3 linked regions of the Pelodiscus sinensis genome follow. The protein of the gene in region 2 purifies or fractionates together with the protein of the main gene of each other region. This does not show direct contact. Links are inferred from orthologs where the notes say so. Each region holds a gene or a part of one and is shown on either strand. Other genes may lie near its edges.

What was found.
Region 1: the proteins of DDX39A (region 2) and THOC1 purify together in Homo sapiens (affinity purification with mass spectrometry; 3 studies listed by BioGRID and IntAct, with this or other methods). This does not show direct contact. The link is inferred for Pelodiscus sinensis from reciprocal best matches to the Homo sapiens genes DDX39A and THOC1.
Region 3: the proteins of DDX39A (region 2) and API5 fractionate together in Homo sapiens (co-fractionation; 3 studies listed by BioGRID, with this or other methods). This does not show direct contact. The link is inferred for Pelodiscus sinensis from reciprocal best matches to the Homo sapiens genes DDX39A and API5.

What each region holds. Positions count from the first base shown.
Region 1 is NC_134712.1:79,537,386-79,544,308, forward strand, and holds the start of THOC1 (THO complex subunit 1), read right to left. Parts: upstream 3,103-6,923; 5' UTR 3,012-3,102; coding exon 2,952-3,011; intron 1-2,951. UniProt on the Homo sapiens protein: Component of the THO subcomplex of the TREX complex which is thought to couple mRNA transcription, processing and nuclear export, and which specifically associates with spliced mRNA and not with unspliced pre-mRNA.
Region 2 is NC_134729.1:10,432,242-10,439,784, forward strand, and holds the start of DDX39A (ATP-dependent RNA helicase DDX39A), read right to left. Parts: upstream 3,059-7,543; 5' UTR 2,926-3,058; intron 1,618-2,925; 5' UTR 1,581-1,617; coding exon 1,373-1,580; intron 595-1,372; coding exon 467-594; intron 114-466; coding exon 21-113; intron 1-20. UniProt on the Homo sapiens protein: Helicase that plays an essential role in mRNA export and is involved in multiple steps in RNA metabolism including alternative splicing. Regulates nuclear mRNA export to the cytoplasm through association with ECD.
Region 3 is NC_134714.1:80,644,987-80,652,437, reverse strand, and holds the start of API5 (apoptosis inhibitor 5), read right to left. Parts: upstream 3,055-7,451; 5' UTR 2,887-3,054; coding exon 2,818-2,886; intron 981-2,817; coding exon 819-980; intron 1-818. UniProt on the Homo sapiens protein: Antiapoptotic factor that may have a role in protein assembly. Negatively regulates ACIN1. By binding to ACIN1, it suppresses ACIN1 cleavage from CASP3 and ACIN1-mediated DNA fragmentation. Also known to efficiently suppress E2F1-induced apoptosis.

The sequences.
Region 1 (6,923 bases), on a different chromosome or scaffold from region 2:
CAAAGGAGATTAAATGTGCCACGTGGCCCAAGGTGGTGTTTTTAGCAGCTGGCTCCAAAGCAGAGCTCTGCTATATCCCTCCTTGGATGAGACCCCAAGTCAAAGATTTCCTCATCCATCCCTGAGGCTCTGGTAGAAAAACATGTCTCCTCCTCCAGTGCCCTTCCTACATGAAGATGAACCTGGTTTCTTGATTTTCCTTGCTACAAGAGCTATGTGAGCTTCAGCTCTAGAATTAGGGCTCCTATGCACCACGATAATTGAAATACTTATTAGTATTAATTATTTTTGTAAGAATGGAAGGAAGAATGGTTAAGGCTCTGTGCCGGAATAAGGAAGAACCAGTTTACATGTTTCACACCATCCAACCACCTCTGTGGCTCCAATTGGTGGACCAGGTGCAGATGCCTTTTATTCCTCTTGTACATTGGATCTGTCTGACTGCATAGTAATCTTCCTTCAAGTTTGTCCCTGGGGAAGATGCTAAGTTTGTTTTGAAACGATACCTAAGCAGCCAAGTCTATTGCTTTCTCCAGAACACACGAAAGTGAAAGAGTTGAGGCTGGCCTACACCAAAGCCAGGGAGTGGAGCTCCCGTTCAGGGGCAGCACCCCAATCATATCCCTATACAAGCCCCTCCACCACATCCTAGGAGGGGAGTCGGTCCCTTTCCCCACTTGCCTAAGGACACCTTCCTGGAGCTCTCCCGAGGAAACTCCACTCCAGTGCTTCACCACCCTCCTGGGACAACGGCAAGAGAATCGTATCTGCCTGAGTATGGCCCCAACTGTTGATCTCCCCACGCAAAACTGGTTCCCGGCAGAGCAGTAACTGTCTGGTGTGGTGAGCTTCCAAAGTGTGATGGTGACCCACTTCTGGAAGGGGATGGCGGGTTCCATGTGCGTATCCCTTGCAGAGCTCCAGGAAGGTGTCCTTAAGCACATGGAAGTTCTACAGCCACTACTGGTCATCCCGTTGCTCCATGACAATCTGGCCCCACCAGCTGGAACCTGTTGCTAGTCGCCAGAAGTGGCAGTGCCTGGTGTGCAGGGTAGGGTGGGAGAGATCATGCTGCATGAGCAGTACGGAGAAAGAGGTGAGGAGGTGCCCTACAGGGAACAGTGTGTCCTGTTCCTGCAGTGCCATGTGGGCAGCATGCAATAACTGCACCAGGAGGCGTGGTAGCAGATCTAAGAGATGGCGATTACTTTCTAGCACATCTAGCTCCATGCCCTCAAGAGCAACCAGAGCAAGAAGTGAGATGAGTTTGCTGTCCTTCAAGGCAAAGGTGAAGAGCCTGAGACATGGCTGTAGAAGGTAGCCCTTTTAAGCATAAGCCTCAGATAGCCTCAGGCAGCAGCTACAGGAAATGACTGCTGTCCTGATGCTCTGCCCTGATGCTTCCAGGGGGCCTTAAGAGCTATTCAGGCTTCACTCAGTGTGGACACACTATTTTGATATATTTCTGCACTATTTTGATGGGCTTTTGTAGTGTGGAACATAGTATTTGAAATAGCTATTCTGGGAGTTATGATGCCAAAATAGCTTATTTGTACCGTCATAGTTCCAGTGTAGAGGTTGCACATGAAATCACCGGGAATGAATTGTGTAAGTTCAGAAATATCTCTAGTGCTATAGTGATTGAAAGGAAAGTTCTGTCTCCCTGATTTCTCTCATCATTTACATGATCCAAATCTAAATGCGTCATATTCACCACTAAACTAAATTAAAAGCTTGTGTGTGTGTTGTGTGTATCCTTTTTTTAATTAGATTTCTTTTTTTTTTGCCTCCTTTGGTTTTGTTGAATGTTACTTTGAAGTGAAATGTGGCTCTAATGCCTTGTGCCTCAAATTTTGCAATTTGCTGCATGAGCAGTATGGGGAAAGAGGTGATGAGGTGTTTCTGCAGTGCCATGTGGGCAGCATGCAATAACTGCACCAGGAGGTGTGGTAGCAGATCTAAGCGATTCATATTACAATCCATGAAGTTACGGCCCATGAAGTTAACAACTACTGTTTTGGTTTTGAGGGAGTTGGCAGGTATATAATAAAGTATTCATATGGACACGCTTAAGTGCTTTGTTGTGTGGAAACTCCATACTTTGCAAAAGTAATACAATGCATTTATGGCAGAGCAAGGAAGATTTCCTTCATATAAAATGAGCCAGGAAGACCAATGATCTTGATCTGTGACAGATTGCTGCACACAAAAAGCTTCTTTTTGTTGGGGAGAACAAAAAATGGAGCCCCATGCCATTTGTACTAATGAAAGAGGAGACCTAAGAAATCAGTCTGGAATGTTTGAAGTATGGGGGTTGGATGCCCTCTTTGCAAGTCCTGCATCACCTGACAGTTCAACTTACAAAACAACAGTCACAATGTTACTAGCTTCCCAAAAGTAAACAGTACTTACCATTGGGTCCTACATTAGCAGGTGGGGCACTGCTGACTCCCTAAAGTGCCCACAAGTCCGTGGGACATGCCTCGGCTGAGTGAGTTTGTGAGGCCCCGCCCGGGGTCAGGGCAGGCGGACAGACATGGGGTTAATACAAATAGTCATCAGTTCACAGTTTAAGGTGCCTTGGGTCAGGGCGACAAGTGTCTATTAAAGCTCTGTCTGGGTCCCAGCCGGACAGGGGTCGGGTCTCCTCGCTCTGCGAGAGCCGACAAGCACAAGGGTTTTGGCCCCACAGGGGGAACCTGCCACTCAGGGGAAAGGGTTGCAGGGGGGACGCAGGCCCTCCCTACTCCACCGCATCCCGCACCAGGGCCCTAACAGTGCCAAGGCAGCAGCCACTGGACCGGCAGAGCTCCAGGCCATAGCGCGCCGTCCAGGTCAATGGGAGTCCAAGCCACAGCGCCCTGCCCACCTGACCTCCACTTCTTCAGCCTTCCCAGGATCGGCTGTCCCTGAGTCACTTTCCAACCCCCCTCCTCCCTCCATGGGCCTACCCAATTCTGGCGACAGTCCGGTGGATACTCGGGCAACAGCGGGGTTGGCAGGGTGTCCATGGGCTCCGGTTCAGGCAGGACTCCAGGTGGGCCAGCACAGTTGTTGGTAGCCAGCAAGCGTGCTATCAGGATCAGCGTGCATTCAGGCAGCAGCCAGTGTCCCAGGCCAGAGCTCTGAGGTTGGCAGGGGTCCACGCAGCCCAACCCAGTTCTTGGACCAGGGGCAGTGCGGCCGAGGCCTACGCTGTGGGAGTTACGGCCAGGTGTTGGCTTGGCTTAGTTACCTGGCTCCGACTGAACCTGTGGCTCTTATAGCCCCAGACCCGCCCTCTGACCTCCTGTGGGCGGGGCTAGGTGTGGCTGGACCCGCCCACCAAGGGGTCATAGAGGGCACTTCCTCTTCCGGGTCAGCAGGCAGCCATGTTGCTGTCCCAGACTCATTACAGTCCCATAACACCACCATAAAATGATGACTATTTCATGCAAAGCATCACATCATATAAAAAGTCTGAAGCCAGTTGTTCTGTTCAAATGCTTATCAATAGTGTGCATGAAGTTATGAGATTTTGCCAAATGGTTGTTACTGAAATATGCTGTAATTTTGAGAGTCTTTAATGCTAGGTGATGAACCACTTCCAGGATGGTATTAAACATTCATTAATCAATAGGGGAGTTCTAATCAAAGGGTATACAATTCAATAACAATTGTGCAAGCACCAAACAATGGAGACTGTCCAATTCTAGGATGCAGTTGCACAAGATCACATCAGTGGTATTGCTTAGCCTTGTGACTCAGGAAAGTCCATCAGGACATGTCTTCATCGGAGCAAGTGTCTCATAGGTACGTGGACTAAGGATACAAGATAGACAAAAGCCTGGTGCCACTGTTCCCTTTCTCTTCCCCCACATATGCTGGAAGGAGGAACAAGAATGCTTGGAAGACAAAGACTTCAACTGAGGAGACTGGACCAGGGAGAAGCCTGTGTATTAAGAACTGTAATATCTAGGGGGTGAGAATACTGCTTGACCTAAATACTGCATAATATAATAAGGTTTAAGAGTTAGATTGTGTGCTTAGCTTCTATTTTCTTTGGTAACTATCTCTGATCATTTATGTCTACCACTTAAAGGGTGCCTCTACACTGTGCCTGTAGCTTGAAATAAGATACGCAATTTGAGCTACGCAAATTGCATATTTTATTTTAATCATATTTTGAAATAGCTAATTTCAAAATTTGGCACTGTCTACACAGCACCTATTTCAAAATAAATTGCTATTCTGAAAAGTCCCTTACCCCTCTAATGCTCATTAGAGGGATGTCAGAATAGCGAGCCCATTATATTTCGAAATAACGGGTGTGCTCAAAAGACGCAGAATAGCTATTTCGGGATACCTCCAGTATCCCGAAATAGTGCTGCAGTGCAGATGTAGCCTACAGAATCTCTCTCTCTCTCTCTATTTAATAAATCTGTTTGATATTTTACCCAGAACAGTGTTTTCCTTGAAGTGCTTGGGAAATCTCAGCTCAGGTTAGAAAGGCTAGAGTGTGTCCTCTCCACATTGAAGGATGGGTGGACTGTGTAAGAAATATACACTGGTCAGGCTTCTGACCAGGAAAAGATGGTGCACCTTTTGGGCAAAAGTCCAGGGAGGTGAGAGGAATTGGCTGGCTCCTTTCTCTTTAAGATTTGTGAGTGGATCTGGGAGCTGAATGATAAATAGCAAACCCTGCCAAGCACAGCTGTCACTTGCAAAGCATTGCGAGATAGCGCCCAGGCTGGAGAGTTAAAGATGCTCAGTGTTACCCCAGTTCCAGGTTGTACCCTGCCAATTCAGTCATAACTATCTGCCTCTGGACATAGTGACATTCTGTAACATCCTTTCAGACGTGACAATGCTCTGTCATTGGATAAGTATATTGTTCCATGTTTTAGTCGGAGTTGTTTTGTGGTAAGTTTGCAGAAAACGAGAGAAATTATGTTGCACAAGTCTACAGGAGGAAAAGGTTTCCAGAGGATGTGGTAATTTTATGTTTGTTGCAGCAAACAGACTTGTGTGTAATTTCAGAAACAGGTAGAGCTGCATACTGTGGGTGTCACTTTGAAATGGGAATGCAGAATCCCAACTCCCTGGAACATCTCTTTCAGATCAGTTTGTGTCTAAACTTTGCAATTCAGGCTCACTCAATAACATTGACTAATGAATATTTCCTAAAGTGGGGAAGGAGAGGGACCTTCCCCCTGCTAAATTTTCTCCAGCCCGTGGCAAGTCTGCGCACCATGGGCTGGAATCCCTGACTCTCAGCTCCCTCCCAGTCATGGGGCTAGAATCACAAGCACTGGCTATCCCCATTGTGGGGGAAGATATGGTGCCAGACTGGTCAGCTGCACCTGCAGCCCTGTATGTGCAGGGGTCATCAATTAGAGTCCATGTGCACCTGCCCCCATCAATGGGTCAGGAGAACTGAGGGAGCTGCATCTGTAGGCATGGCTACAAAGACTAGGCTAATGGACCTTTCTTGCCCATGTAGTTGCTATATGCAATGAATCATGTCCCATCAGCTTGAATTCTGGAAGAATGAAATAAAGATATTTGACGTGAAATTCTTCATCTGCTGTTGAAGGGTATGTCTACACTACAGCGCTAATTCGAACTTAATTCAAATTAGTTAATTCGAACTAAGCTAATTCGAACTAGTGCATCTAGACCTAAAAACTAGTTCAAATTAGCGTTTTGCTAATTCGAACTAGCATGTCCACATTGAGTGGACCCTGAACCGGGGTTAAGGATGGCCAGAAGCAGTGCCGGCAGGGCATCAGATGAGGACTTAGAGCGTGGAGCTGCTGTCTCAGGCTAGCCGAGGGCTGTGCTTAAAAGGACCCGACCCCCACCCCGGACAGACAGTTCTCAGGGGTTCCCTGTTCACTTGTCTAACTTGATGAGGGACAGCAAAGCAGTCCTGGCTTCAAGTGCCCACACTCGGCCATCAGCCCGGCTGCACTCGCCATAGGCTGCCATCCGGGGACGGGGGTTAATCGGGGGGCTGCAGGAGAGCTTCCACCCCGAGGAGCCCGCAGAGCCAGCCCAGTCCTCCCCATCGGGGGCTCGTACCCCAGTCCTCCCTCACCTCCTTCCACTTACCCCTCCCTAGCCCCCCTTCCTGATGTACAAAATAAAGGACATGTGTGTTCAAAAATAGAAACTCTCTTTATTGAGCAAAACTTGGGGAGACTGGGAAAAGGAGGTGGGAGAGGGGAAGAGAGAGGGTGGGAGAGGGGAGGGCAACTAAAATGATCAGGGGTTTGGAACAGGTCCCATATGAAGAGAGGCTAAAGAGACTGGGACTTCTCAGCTTAGAAAAGAGGAGACTGAGGTGGGATATGATAGAGGTCTATAAAAGCATGAGTGGTGTGGAAAGGGTGCATAAAGAAATGTTCTTCATTAGTTCCCATAATAGGAGGACTAGAGGACACCAAATGAAATGAATGGGTAGCAGGCTTCAAACTAATAACAGAAAGTTCTTCTTCACAAACCAAATAGTCAACTTGTGGAACTCCTTGCTGCAGGAGGCTGTGAAGGCTAGAACTAGAACAGAGTTTAAAGAGAAGTGAGATAAAGTCATGGAGGTTGGGTCCATGGAGTGCTATTAGCCAGGGGGTAGAAATGGTGTCCCTGGCCTCTGTTTGTGGAAGGCTGGAGATGGATGGCACGAGACAAATGGCTTGGTCATTGTCTTCGGTCCATTCCCTCCAGGGTACCTAGTGTTGGCCGCTGTTGGCAGACTACTGGGCTAGATGGACCTTTGGTCTGACCCAGTACGGCCATTCTAAGCTCAGGGCTCAGGGTCGGGGGTCTCACTGGACCACCTTGATTTTCATACATACTTGCTCCTGGGTGGCCAGGCTGGCAGCTATCCTGCCCTAGACGGCCACTTTCCTGTGCCTAGTGCGGAGGTCGTGGATGAGGTCCAC
Region 2 (7,543 bases):
GGGCCAGAGGATGGGATCACCTTGACGCTGGGCATGTACTTGGAGAAGCGCTCGTACTCCTTGCTGATCTGGAACGCCAGCTCCCGTGTGTGGCACATCACCAGCACGGACACCTGGGGGGAGAGACGGGGTCACCTCAGCACCCCATGAGACATCCTGCCTCTCCAGGGATGCAGCCCAACACCCCCACCCAGGAACACCCTCCTGGGGATGGACACCTCCCCCCTCTTCCAAGATTTGGGGAACAGGTGCCCCCCCTTTGCCCCTTCACAGGGATGAATGATCTGGGGAGACCAGACTAAGCTAAAGCATCAGGGGTCCACGTCGCCTTCCCTGCCCTTCTCTTGGAGCCCAGGATGTCTCTTCACCAAGTCTACCCCACACCTGGATAGGCAGCCCCAGGCCCCTTCCCACATGGAATGGGTCAGAGAGAGGGCTGCTCCCCCCCCCCCCCCCCAAACCATACCTGCCCATCCACCGGCTCAATCTGCTGCAGCGTGGCCAGCACGAAGACAGCCGTCTTGCCCATGCCCGACTTGGCCTGGCACAGCACGTCCATGCCCAGGATGGCCTGCGGGATGCACTCGTGCTGCACTGCGAGGGGAGGGCAGACACACGACAGTTAGATGGGGCGCAGCATGTTGAGGGGAGAACCAGGAGTCCTGACTCCCAGCCCGCTGCTCAAACCGCTAAACCCATCCCCCTCCAGCACTGGGGCATTAGGGTCACCTACTGAGACCCCACCCCCAGCGGCACAGGGCCCCTCAGTGCTGCACTGGGGCTGATACTGAGTGCCAAGGAGAGCGCTCCCTGCTTCCCCAATGCAGACAGGCCTGATGGACTAGTCGGCTGGTCACACCCCATCCCTTGCTGCCTCCATCAGAAAGAGGCAGCGGGGTGAGGGGAAAGAGGAGAGGGTACTTGAAAGCAGTAGCACCGCTTGAAGCCTGGGCCAGCTGGGGTATCCCCAGGCTCCCCGCAGCGTTTCAAAGCGGCAGCGCCACACAGAGCCCAGGGTCAGTGGGGGAGTTCCCAGCTGATCCCAGGCTCCACCTCCGCCTTTGAAGTGTAGCAACAGCCCATGGGCCCTAGAGCTGTTGCTACACTTCGAAGGTGGAGGCGCCCCATCGACTAATCGAATAGTCAATGCAAAATACATCGACTATTCGATTAGTCAGTCGCTATTGAACGTCCGTAGCCCCCAGTTGGCAGGGCAGATCTCAGGATCACACTCCTTTTGCTGACACCCCCGTATCCCCGCAGCTCTCACCAGGCAGCGCCGCTCTCTATGGCCCCCGCCCGCAGGTCCTCCCAGGCGGGCTGGCGAGGGGGTTGCGCTCCCAGGGGCCAGGGGCCTCGGCTCCGCTCCTACCTTCAGACGGGTGCTCGAAGCCACAGTCCACAATGGCTCGCAGGAGCTCGGGTTTGAGCAGGAAGTCCCGGAACCCTGAGCTGTGGATGGACACATAGGAGCCCTTCACGTCCTTCTTTGCTGCAGGGGGCACCGCGTCCGCCACCACCTGGGGCTCCTCGTCCTCCTCATAATCCAGCAGCTCGTTCTCCACATCCTGCTCCGCCATTCTGCGAGGAACGGGGCACTCGGGCTGCGGGGCTGCACTGAAGGTACCAACAGTGTTAGCACAGGGAGCTCAGGGTTTGGACAGGTCAGAACTGAGGGACCCAGGCCTGTACTAGGCTAGTAAAGGCTTCAGGCCAGTGCTGAGCCAACAGAGGTGGAGGGGAGCCCAGGACTTGCACAAGGGCTTTAGGTCAGGATGGAGACACACCCACAGAGCTGGGACGGAGATGAGGCTGGGGTAACAGGCTGCAGGTCAAGAGCGTGAGGCACGGGCAGAGCTGGGGTGGGGGAGTAACCCCAAACTTCATTAGCCCAGGGGCCTTGGGCAGGATTGAGGGCCATTGGCAGAGCTGGGAGTGGGGAGCCTGGACAGCCAGGGGAGTTGTGGGTCAGGATTGAGGGGCACTGACTGGGAGGCTATGGGTCAGGATTGAGGGGCACTAGATGGGACACTGGGTCGCTTGGGGAGGTGGGTTGGGGAGTCGGGATTATGGGGCGCTGGGGGGCCAGGGCTGGGGGGGCTGTGGACGGGCATTACGATACCCTTGCGGGGGGGGGGGGGTTGGGCTAGCCAGGTGGCTGGGGGGTCGGGGTTATGGGGCGCTGGGGGGCCAGGGCTGGGGGCTGTGGACGGGCATTACGGTACCCTTGCGGGGGGGGTTGGGGGGTCGGGGTTATGGGGCGCTGGGGGGCCAGGGCTGGGGGCTGTGGACGGGCATTACGGTACCCTTGCGGGGGGGGGGGCTGGGGGGCCGGGGTTATGGGGAGGCTGTGGACGGGCATTACGATACCCTTGCGGGGGGGGGGGTTGGGCTAGCCAGGTGGCTGGGGGGTCGGGGTTATGGGGCGCTGGGGAGCCAGGGCTGGGGGCTGTGGACGGGCATTACGATACCCTTGCGGGGGGGGGCTGGGGGGTCGGGATTATGGGGCGCTGGGGGGCCAGGGCTGGGGGGGCTGTGGACGGGCATTACGGTACCCTTGCGGGGGGGGCTGGGGGGTCGGGGTTATGGGGCGCTGGGGGGCCAGGGCTGGGGGCTGTGGACGGGCATTACGGTACCCTTGCGGGGGGGGCTGGGGGGTCGGGGTTATGGGGCGCTGGCAGAGCTGGGGGCCCGCGGGTCGGGACTGCGGGGCGCGGGAGGCGGGGCTACGGGCGGGATTAGGGGGCGCTGGAGGATCCGGGGGGGCTGGGGGCACGTGCCCCCCCCACAAGCAGAGCGGCCGCCATGGGCAGGCTCCCGGCCCCGGCCCCCCCCGTTGCCGGGCCGGGCGGGGGAGACGCGGCGCCGACCAGGCCGCAGCCCAAGCCCCGGGCTCGCGTGAGCGCCCCGCCCGGCCGCTCTCACCTCGCGCTCCCGGAGGCCGCTCACGTGGTACCGCGCTCCGGCTCCCACTCCCGCGCGGCGCGTCCTCTGCCGGCGACAGAGCGCTTCTTCCGCCTCCACTCCCATTGGCGCGACGCCCCGCCATTCCGGGCCGCTCCCTCCACTCTCATTGGTCTGCTGGAGGCCCGAGGCCCGCCTTACGCCGGAGTTAGCGGATGCCGCCAGAGGAACTGCCAGTCTATTGGCTGATAGAGATGTCCATCTTTGGAAGCTGCCTGTTGATTGGGTTAATTCATCTGCCAGTCAGCGCGCCCTTCCATCAGTTTCCTACGAGGGTAGCACTGCGGTCTTGAGAGAGGGAGGAACAAAGGGCAAGTGAAGCCTGGAATGAGACGCCATCTTGAATGGTGGCAAAAAACACACCATGAAGATGGGAAGGAGTGGGGCGCCATCTTAAGTGCTGGCAGGAGTAGTTATCTCTCCCCCTTCTTCTTCCAATCAGGATAAGCGCAGGGCTATGAGGATAGACACAGCTCAGAGGGATGGGCAGGGCTGCTGGTGGCCAGGGTCACTATGCCCATAGACTTGGCCTAGTTCACGTCTGGCCTCCCCAGCATCCCTTGGCAGTGAGTTCCGCAGGCTGCAACATTTTAAACCTGCCCCCCCCCCTCCGTCCATGTCATCTGGTCACCCCAGTTCTTGTGTTATAGGAAGGAGCAAATCTGTTAAGTCTCCACTTGACAAAGCCCTGGCTGGGTTGATTGAGTTGGGATTGGTCCTGCTTTGGGCAGGGGGCTGGACTTGATGACTCCTGAGGTCTCTTCCAGCTCTAGGATTCTATGAAATTCATTCAGTCTCTTCACCCCCGTCCTATAGCTAGATGCCCCTTCAGTGCTGTCTTTTCTACAGTGAACAGTCCTGGTCTCATGAATCTCTCCTCAACCCCCTGCCTTTCCCAATTCCAATATTTTGTTTTAGAGACGGGGTGACCAGAACTGCATACAGTATTCAAGATGTGGGCATACCAGGGAGTTATACTGTGGCTTTGTGATATTTCCTACTTTCTATCCCTTCCCTAATGGCTCCTGACATGCTGCTGTTTGCTTTTTTGACTGTCGCTGCACATTGAGTGCATGTTTTCTGAGAACTCTCCACAATGACTCCAAGATCTGAGTCTCACATGGTAACAGCTAATTTAGTCCCCAGCATTTTGTATGATTAGTGAGGATTCTTTTTTCCAACCTGCATTATTTTACAGTGATCAACATTGCATTTCACCTGCCATTTTGTTGCCCTGTCACCCAGTTTGGTGAGGTCTCTTTGTAACTCCCTGCCGTCAGCTTTGGACTGAGCCATCTTCAGTAGTTTTATATCCTCTTCTCCAAAGAGCTCTGATCGCAGGGTCCTACAGTGACCCTGCTATTTACCACTCTCCATTATGAAAACTGACCATTTATTCCTACTCTTTGTTCCTGTCTTCTGCCTAATTACTTACATGAGAAGGCCTTCTCTCCTCGTATCCCATGACTTTGCTGAAGGGCTTTCGCCGAGGGACCTTGTCAAAGGCTTTCTGAACATCCTAGTTCACTACATCCACTGGATCCCTTGGCCACATGCTTGTTGACCCATCAAAGAATTCTAGTAAAGTGGTGTGAGGCCTGATTGGCCCAGTCATCTCCAACAAGCCCCTCGGGGTAGCTCTACAGCCTCTCCCCGAGTTACGAACGACTTACGGACCAAACACTTGCCCATAACTCGATCTATTCGTAACTTGGACCCCATTGAGTTACACGTGACCGCGCTGTTCGTAAGGGGACCGCCTTTACGACCGCTCCATAGGAGCTTTGGAGCAAATGGTCATAACTCAACCGTTCGCAACTCGAGGAGCGGCTGTACTGTAGTACTGGGCTATACTCTGAGACAGTGTTTCTCAACCAGTGGTACGAGTTCCCTTAGGGGTACTCGAGAGAAGTCGGGGGGCTACATCAACACAACTGAAATTTGGAGAAAACTGAATTTTTGTTTTAAGTTGTACAGCGCTTTATTACTTTTGTACTTTTTACACCCAAAAATGTCATCACCCGCCCGGCTATGATTAAGTTTTTTAAACAAATGTGTTAAAATGGTAGAAAAAAAATTGTGTGTCTGAAAACTGTAAGCACTGGGGGTACTTATTTTTTTTAAGGGGGTACTTTATAAAAAAAAGGTTGAGAAACACTGCTCTGAGATACTGCAGGGCACACAAAATTCATCCCTTTTCTACAGCTGCTCCCTTCCCTTTTGTCTGAATGTTTTTGTCTCCCTGTCCTTCCAGGACTGGTCTGTAGCAGCCCCCATCTTCTCCCCGCCCTTCTCTGCACCACGCCTCTAAATGGAGTATTAACTGGTAGGGCACAATTCCTGCACGGTCCCATTTGCATCCAGGAAGAGGGAAATGCCAGGACAGTCATGGACATGAGACAGTGGTGGAGCAAAGCGAGTGACAGAGCAAGGGAACAAGGGTCTATGTAGAGACAGGCGCCCCATGGCATCGGGATCAATTCACATGGCTGTAGCATCTGTAGGTTTGCTCCAGCGGAATTGGGTCCCAAGAGGCTGCACTGTTACTGGAGTGTGATATGTCCGTACAGGTGATTGTTGCAACCACTGCTAGATGTTTGCACTAAATCTTGTATAAAGTGGGCCACGTGAGGTGTCTATAGAAAGCTAATGATTCGCTGATTCTGTTTATGCTATTTGTGGGCAGGTATCATATTTGTGTGTGTGTGTGTGTGTGTGTGTGTGTGTGTGTGTGTGTGTGTGTGTGTGTGTGAGAAAGGCTTCTCAGGTTGATTGGGACAATGAAGCATGGGAAGCACCAATTGCACTCAGTGGACTTTCCTGCAAACCTCCAATCTGGAATTTGGACCATGGTAGCTGCCTAAAAAGGACTGAGTCCTGCATGGACAAGGGCTGTGCTTAGGTGACAAACTGCATTTTGTAGCTGCATTTTCCCACTGAGAGCCATGAGCGTCCTTCATTGTGGCCTATGATATAAAAAGAGCCCTGGAGTTTGCAAATGAAGTGCTGATTAGCATTTTGTCACACTTCATTTGCATAATCGATTCAAACCGTTTTTGCGCAAGGGGTTTTTGCGCACAAACAAGCAAAAAGGGGTTTTTGCACAAAAAGGAAACGTCCACACTGCTTGTTTTTGCGCAAAAATCCCTTGCGCAAAAACAGCTTGAATCGATTATGCAAATAAAGCAGGACAAAATGCTAATCAGCACTTCATTTGCATACTCTCTGCTGGCAAAAGCCAGCTGTGTAGACAAAGCCCATTTGTCTTTATTCTAGCGTCTCACCTGTGGAGGGGCTTTGCTAGGAACTGAAGCTTGAAGGGATGGTTGACCCTTGAGTGGGTGTCTTCCAGAGACTTGATTTAAAACAGCAGATTATTCACCTCTGCTTCAAGCTTGCCCCAAACACTTTGCCACTGGTGCATGCATTTGATTCCTTTAAGAGTTGTAGCTCTCACCATTTCTTGTTATTGATAACCCTTTAGATTTTAGATTCAAAAGGACTGGCACAGCATGCTTTTTGGGTAATGTCAGTCTAACGCATGGCGACTCACCATGCAGCCTGCAGCCTGTTTGTTTGCGGTCCGCGGTGCGGTTTGGGTGTACACAGGGCTCAACATGTGGCTTGTGGGTGGGATCCTTTGAACATGGCCTCCACTGGGACATCATCCCTGCTGGGAATCCAGGATGGGGCTCCGGAGCACCTGTCCTTTTTTGCCTCTTGTGTCCGGCATGACTCGTCTAGCTCCCCTCCCACCACAGGTTGGAGCATTCTGGTTTGGAAACTTTTTCTGAGTGAAATCACTCTGAGAAGTGCACAACCTGAAGCTTCAAGCTAAACACGCAAAACACTGGGATATAACTTTTTCTTTTTAAAAGTTCTCATCAAAAGTGCGGTCATGTGGGTGGAAATCGGGTAAATATTGCATTTTATTAGTATCAGCAGAACAGACTTAAATGGGGCCTGCAAATCGTGTAGTCTTGCCTTAATCTTTGTATGCATCAGTGTGCACTTTGCACTTAATCAGTGTGAAAGAAGCTATTTGCGACTACACTTAACTTGCGGCCCTCAGCATGTGCTGGGAGTATTTTTGTGGCCCCCAGAGCTTCCAAAGTTGAGTAGCCCTGATCTAAAGTGAGCTGGGAATGTGGCTGGTCCTTTGCGGTCAGAAAACCCATTTTGATTTGGCGAGATTAGTTTTCATAACCTCTCATCTGTGCTTGGAGCGGTGCTGGTGGTGGCACAGGAGCACTGGAGTGTCTAAGGAAATTGCATGTAGGACTTCTTGCTGGCCAGTACGGTGAATAGAACTGCTCTTTGTGATTGGCTGGTGCCTTATAGTGAAGGACTCCCAGACTTAAGCTGTAAGTAGCTCTGTCTCCAAGCAATTCGCCCTGAATTGGCCCTCTCAGCAGTGCCCCCAGAAACTCTCGTGTATTACAGAGGCAGAGAAGCACCTGCAGCATCACCCTCTGCCCGGGACTGTTATGATGTCAGCACCCATCCAGTCGAAGACCAGGAATCTCCATGCACACCTCAGCCAGCCAGTCCCAGCAGTTTATGACATAATGACCTGGGT
Region 3 (7,451 bases), on a different chromosome or scaffold from region 2:
AAGATGTAATGCTTAATACTAGCAATGTGAAATGTAACCATGTACACTAGGCTCATCAGTTAACCTTCATGTAACCTTCACCCGGTACATGCAGCGAGGTGCCTTAAAAACCAAATTCCTGTGTGCACCAGCTTCCAGGGAGCCGCCTCCCCTCTACTGCTGCCTTGGTATGAGAGGCATCGGGGAGGCGGGGGGGGGGGGGGGGGGATGTCAGATGTAGGTGGGAGCTGGTACATGCAGTGAGCCTGCTTAAAAGCTGGCTCTCTGTGAGCACCAGTTCCTGGGGAACCAACTGCCATCTTGCACATAACCGCTGATATTTTCAGAAATTATATGGTTACTTAAAACACATTTTAACATCTCTACTTATTATAAAGTACTTTGATATAAAAAGTGCTAGAGATGTGAGAAGTATTTTTCAGTTCATTTTCTAGGTAGAGAAAATTTTCCTGTAATTAGAAAGGGTTGAATCACGAGGGATAATGAAGAAAAGGAAGATTTATCTGGTGATAGACGATGGACAGAATTACAATGTGTTCTTCAGACATTGTAAGCATTATCATGAAGCAAGTAACATAGAATCCGATTATTTCAGCCAAAGTGATCAGAATTGTTTTGACTGAAATAAAAGAAAGGAACTAACATATTGTTAATTACAATTTTATGACACACAGACATAATATAATTTGAAACATATGGACACCGGAGTCCCTTTTTTGCAAGAAAATACTTGTATAAAATGGGAGAGGAATAAAAGGGAACACAAAATAAGACTCAACATAGAAGCCTGCTAAAAAACATCCAACATGTAGCCTTACGGAAACATCTTCATCCTCACAGAGGTCCAGTTGGGCATTGATAGCTGAATCTGCCAGCTCAGGAAAATGTTTGAAGAACTTTGGAATAAACTGTGCTGCCAGTCTCTTCTCCTTGGCACCTCCTTTTACACCATCCAGTATCACTTGATAAGCATCTTTATGCTAGAAGAGAAAATAGACTATATAAAGCAGAACATACTTAGAATTTCCCTAGGATCAAGAAAGGACTTGTTATTCTCAATTGTACTTTAGTTTTTATGATTAATACAAAACCCTATTTCAAAAAGTTCACCTATATTAATGATAAATTAACGGAACCATAATTTGCATAGTGACATAAACTTGCTGACTCCTAATTGAACCAACAAAAAAATGCTGTCCAAAACACCAATAAGGTAGGAAATGGTCCATTCCAAACAGCCCATTCCTATTCCTGAAGTCAAAATTTCCACTGACTTCAGTAAGAGTAGATCTAGCCCTTAATAGCCAACTGAAGCAGTAAATCATCCTCTGCTCAGCTGAATAACATTAAAATATTTACATATTCTATCTAAGAGCCAAATGCTGCTATCGTATTCACAGAAGCAGACCCCTTAAACACAAGCAGAGTCACAACGAAGTTGATGGAATTCCATAGGATTATCAGGGTTCAATGGCATGATGAGAAACTGGAAACCTTCTATCTAGGCAGGGGAAAGAATTGATATTTGTAAAAACTTGAAGAACAACAACAATTATCTTCTGCCTAAGATGATGTTTGACATTTGATCTTTCACCTGGCATTGCCAAGTCATGTTTTTATATTAATATTTCAAGACAGAAGATTTTACTTGGAAGTCTTTATTTAAAAAAAAAAAAAAAAAAAAAGATGACTGTTGGCCAAAACTGGTCAAGCAATTTCTCTGTCCTCAAGTTGTACACAGATGAATAATCATATTGCTCTTAATCAAATATTGTTGTTACCATCTGCCATTTAAATGAACTATTGTACACAATGTCTATCTTTGGAAATAAGTTTCCTTTCTAACCAGTAATGCCTCAATAATTACACTAAAGTTGCTATTGGTTTACTTTGGCTAATTTCATTTTTACTCCTACATTGGCTTAACTGTTCAGTGCTCAGACACTGCAAGCTCTTCAGCACAAGCTTAACTCTATTGCACATATAAAATTATGCAGAACAGAAACCTTAAAATGCTAGCAGAATGTTCCTAAACAAATTACTTAAAGTGGAACAAGCAAGCTAAATATTTTATTCTAAAGAAAATGAACCAAGTTGTATTTTTAACACCTTATCCACCTTGTTGCAGAAAGAAGACTTTACCCTATTCTGGATGGTGATAATAAATGTAAAAGATGCAAGATGTGTCTTTTTTCTTTTGATGACTACCATACATTTATCTGGGCCAAACACCCAGCAAGGCAAATCTGTTTTCTGAGACGGAGCTACTAAGTGGAACACCACATTTCAAAGAGACACAGCTCTGCCAAGCAGGAGGGAGCTTCAAGGAATCGACCGACTTGTGAGGGATGATGGCTACTCACAACTCCCAGGAGAGCTGAATAGGAGCAGGGGCTGCTACGCACCTCTGGGATTCAGGCCTTCAACGTCCTGGCGAACCGTTGGCCACAAACCCTTTCCACGCCTGGGACAGCACCAGAGCGCCGTGCACCCAACACAAGGTCAAGGAGTCTCCCTCCAACTGACAGACGCCGGGCACCAGTGGCCACGGCAGGGGAGAGGGCCCCCTTTCAAGCCTGACGCCACTGACCCAGGCTGACGCTGCTTTTGGCGGGGGAGGAGGGGGAGAATATTTTAATCAGCTACGTAACCCGCTGCCCCGCCAGGCTGCTCAGCCCCAGTAACCCCCCTCCCCCCTGGCCTCCCCCTCCCCCTGCCCCTTCCAGCCCGGGCCGGGCCTGCCCTCCCCCGCCGAGGGACCCGCCGCACTCCAGCCCGAAGCTTTGCGGGGCCCTGCAGGCCGCGGCCGGGGCCCACCTGCCCCGCGGTCTCGGTGGCGTCGGCCAGGATCCCATAGTTGCGGTAAAGCTCCTCCACGGTGGGCATCGTGCGGCGGGGGCGGGCGGGGGCCGGAGCTGGAATCGGGGCCGCCGCGGCTGCTTCTCCTGCGGCTGCTGCTGCTGCTGCCACCGACGCTGCGCCTGCTGCCACCGAGCGAGCGCAGCAGCTTCCGGCGGCAGCGACCCCTGCAGGCGCGGCAGACCGACTGCGGCCGCGGGAACGCGCCCAGGGCAAGCACCTGCCCCGCTGCCCCAGCCCGGGCGCCGTCCCCCGGCGTCTCAGCCACAGAGCGTTTCCCCAGGCGCGGTGCCGCCTGTACCCCCCCCCCCCCCCCCCGCCTTGCTGCCTCTATCGGGCAGCTGCACGGGAGACGGCGGGAAGGGCAAGGGAGGCTGGCCCAGGCTCGCCACAAGCAGAGGCTGCTCTGAATCCGTGGGCGGTCGCAGCAGGGAGCGGGGATGCCCCACAGGCAGGGGCTGCTCAACCCAGTACGAGCCGGGACTGAGGAGCTCAGGTCTGGCTTGCGCTGGCTCTGGGATCTACCCCCGCTGGGGCTCTACAGTTTAAATGTAGTGGGAGCCAGGCTGCCTGTGCGCCCAGCGGGGGTAGCTCCTGGACCCGGTACAAGCCGGGACTGAGCACCTTCCCTTATCAACTCATCAAAGTGTATTGACTACATGGTTAGACAGTTACTTGCCTCTTAACATCCTTACCCCAGAGTGCTGGGTGGGTGCCTCTGCTAGCCCGGGAACACCATGCGGCCCTGAAACTTGCGGGCAGTGCGGTTACCAGTGCTGGGCAGGCAGGCAGTGCAAGCACCAACTCCAGCCGCATGGAGTCCATGGCAGCAGGCCAAGCCTGGGATGCTAGCCACTGGGGAAGAGCTTCAGACTGCCAGTGGGAAGCAGGAGCGAGTATGGGGGAATAGAGCTATTTAGGGAGGTTTAGCCATCCCTGGCCTGTAATGCTGCTCAGCTCTGGCACAAGCACTGCAGCAAAAGCAACTGCTGCACTCTGATCTACCTGCTGGCTGATGACTATCTAGACACAGACAAGGGGCTCTTTTCCTGCAGCTACTGGGACCTGGGGGATGGAGAACTCCATGTACTGTCAATTCCAAATATTTACAAACTATGGAAAAATCACACACACACATTTTTAAATGGGGTCAGAGTTACAGATGCTCAAAACAAAATGTAGGACAATGTAGCACTTTAAAGACTAACAAGATGGTTTATTAGATGATGAGTTTTCGTGGGCCAGACCCACTTCCTCAGATCAAAATCAAAAAGTGGGTCTGGCCCACGAAAGCTCATCATCTAATAAACCATCTTGTTAGTCTTTAAAGTGCTACATTGTCCTGCATTTTGCTTCAGCTACCCCAGACTAACACGGCTACATTTCTATCACTATTCTAGATGCTCAAAAGTGAAGGTATTCAGCTGTGCCCTGTACTTCTTATGCCTTTTAGAATATGTGCTTGTTTCCCCAGATTCACATACCCAACTAAGCCACAACACATTAGCTACTTTTTCTATGCATGCCTGAGCACCAGATTTACTTTCGAAAGAACGCAGCAGCAGTCTAGACGCAGGGGAAGTTGTTTTTTTGAAAAAAGGCCTTTAAAAAACCCCCCAAAACCTGTAGTCTAGACACACCCTCAGTAGGCTCTGGGCAGCATGACAGTTGTGGGAAGCACTGGCATCTGGTTGTCAGAGATGATACAGGACAAGGAAGCTGATGTATGGCTAAGATACTGTGATCTTGAGGGATTTCTGAATAATTGGTGTTTAAGAGCAGGGCAAAGGTTGTGTAATACTAAAAAGGGTTACCTTAACTTGGCTTTTTTTGTTTTGCGTATTTTGAATTTTGGCAATCAAATCCTCAAAGGGCACAAGGAGTACAGGATTCTGATGGATACAAAAACCTTACACTGTGCTTGTTTGATCACTACTATGGTTTGAGCTTTGAGCAGGGATATGCGTTGAAGTGTCCATTGTGAAGTTTCCAGTTCAGGCATGGGGAAGGAGGGAGGAGCTGAAAGAGAATTTAACAAAAGAAGTGAGACCAAAACACAAGAAAAGGAAGGGAAGAGGGAGAAAGAGAGAGAGAGAACAAAAACATTTTAAAGCCCCCAAGAATGAAGAAAAGCAGACATTTAAAAAGTTGGCAGAAAAATTCACCAAGATATTACTTAAAAAGAAAGTAGAAATAAAAGTCAAATTGAGAAAAGAAAAAGAGGGAAAAAATCAAAGGAGGAAGAATATATTTACTTTTAAATGATTTAGTAGAAAATTGAACCATTAAAAAGACACTGAAAAGTTTTATGAATATTACATAAAATCAAGCAACCTTATAAATGCTTATACAATACTAATAGGTCCTTTCCACCGAGAAAATCTTTACATGCACATACCGGCATAACTGCATCTGTTAAATAGAGGGAACACTGGAATAGTGATATTGTCTGACCTGCTTGGTCCTAGTTGAAAGCTGTGGTTTTGGAACTCAAAGTCCATATAAGCCCTAGTGTGATCTATTTAGTAATGGGGGGAAGAACAAGACAATGCCCCCTTCATCTCAAGCCCTTGCCTCCACCCTTCCTCCCCTTAGTTTTGTTTAGTTTTGAAAAGTTATGAATTTCAGTTCCCAAGTTCATCTTTTGAAGGTGTTATACAGATTTCCTTTGATCACAAGGACTGAGAGGTCAGGAACAGAGTGATAGCTTTTTGAAAAGTGTTCTCCCATGATTGATAAAGTGTTTTTGTCTTTTATCATTTTTTCTGTGTAAATTATTTTGAGACGGTATAAATACATGCACATACATGCATAATTGGCATGTAAAAATAGTGAAAGCTTTGTTATCCGGCACTCTGTTAATTGGAAAACTTTGTTTACCGGCATTGCCCCCAGCCATAATACCACCGCATCATCAGGCACGCATGCCTGACTCCTGCGTGTCCAGCTGTTGCAGGGCTTCTGACAACCAGCACCACTTGTTGACATCATCAGCAACCACCTTCTTTCCCCTCAGCTTGCTTTGAGCTGCTGAATCTGCTGGTAGGTGGTGGAGGGGCAGAGCAAAAAACTGTGTTATCCAGCACATTCAATTAACCGGCAACCCTCTCTTTCCCCATGAGTTCCAGAGAACAAAGCTTTCAATGTATCCTTACCTGTGTTATTAGTAACAGTATAAATTAGAAAAGTTGTATTTTAAAACAGGTACTGCTACTAAGACATTCACACCTAGTTTATTTCTCACCATTGGTACTGTTCATTTCTTTTCTGCATTTGCCTGTTTAGCCAGTTTCATTTTCTGTTTCTAGTCTTTTTCACTATTTAATTCTCCAGCAAATCAGAGTCTACATGAGGAACATAATGCCAAAAGAGGCAGATTGTTAGACAGACAGATTCACTACCATGAAATAATAATGTCTCAGTCCTCAGCAGGGTAGGGAAAGTTTAAATAATTGTTAATAGACTTTTTTTTAAACATTTCATGGAAACATTTTGTAACTCTCTTGTGTTTTTTTAATAAACTAAATTTCAGTCCTGAAGTACTGTACCTGATAGTAAATTGGACACATGATCCTCATCTCCATTAGGTGGCACTAAGCATTCATACTGGGTTCTTTCTTTTTGTCACCAAACTATGCAGAACACAGAAAATTGAGTAGCTGCAGCCAGTGTCTTTACAGGCAGTGAGGAACCCATGCACCCATTAGGCTCAAATGGTTTGTAAAATGTAAGAAAAGGTAAACGGGTAGCAGCAGCAACTTCCCCATGTCCCATTATGCTTTGCATCCTGCTGATTTCAGAGGAACTTTGAAATGAAAGAGGATTCACCCTCCCAAACACAGCGTAAGGCCAGGCTAAGCAAAACAGGACACAAGTTTTCTTCATTTCATTCTTACAAATAGGGCAGGAAATTGGGAATCTTGCTTGGGCCAGGGACTGGAGACACACAGAAAAATCAATCAAGGGATGCACAAAAATTGGAACCAAACACACACTTCCCTGATGTGAACCCCTGACTTAGAAGCACAAAGACACTCCCCATGTTCACCTTGCACACCAGAGCTTAGGGAGCCTGGGTCCCCCTAGGCTCTGGGGCAGGCCAAAAATGAGGGGTTCAGTGTGTGGAAGGGGGCTGCCTGGAAGTGGGCTTAGGGTGGTAATGAGGGGTATGGACAGGAAAGAGAGTACAGGAGTGGGTTAGGAGTTGGGGGGGTCTGGGAGGGTGCAGAAGTGGGTTGGGGTGGGATGGTTGGATGGATGGCAAGGTGCAAATCTTACCAAATGAACAAAGCATAACATAAAGAGAAAAAGGATTCTGAAAACAACAAAAGGTCTGTATGCGTACCTATCTTACCTAAGCCTTTCTACCCTAGGAGGGGGGCCTAGGAAGAGCTAGCTACTCATGCATCCCAATGGGTATCAGTCTGTTTCCCTTAAACAGTTCCCAAACAACAATTTCTGCTGTATAGTGTGTCTTTCTAACTGTTTATAGTCCTCTTGATCAGTTGGTGCCCAGCACAGGCTAAACAGGGAAGTAGCATGTTCACAGTTAATAGCTCAGGCATTATCTCAACATGCCATCCTCCCCAAAG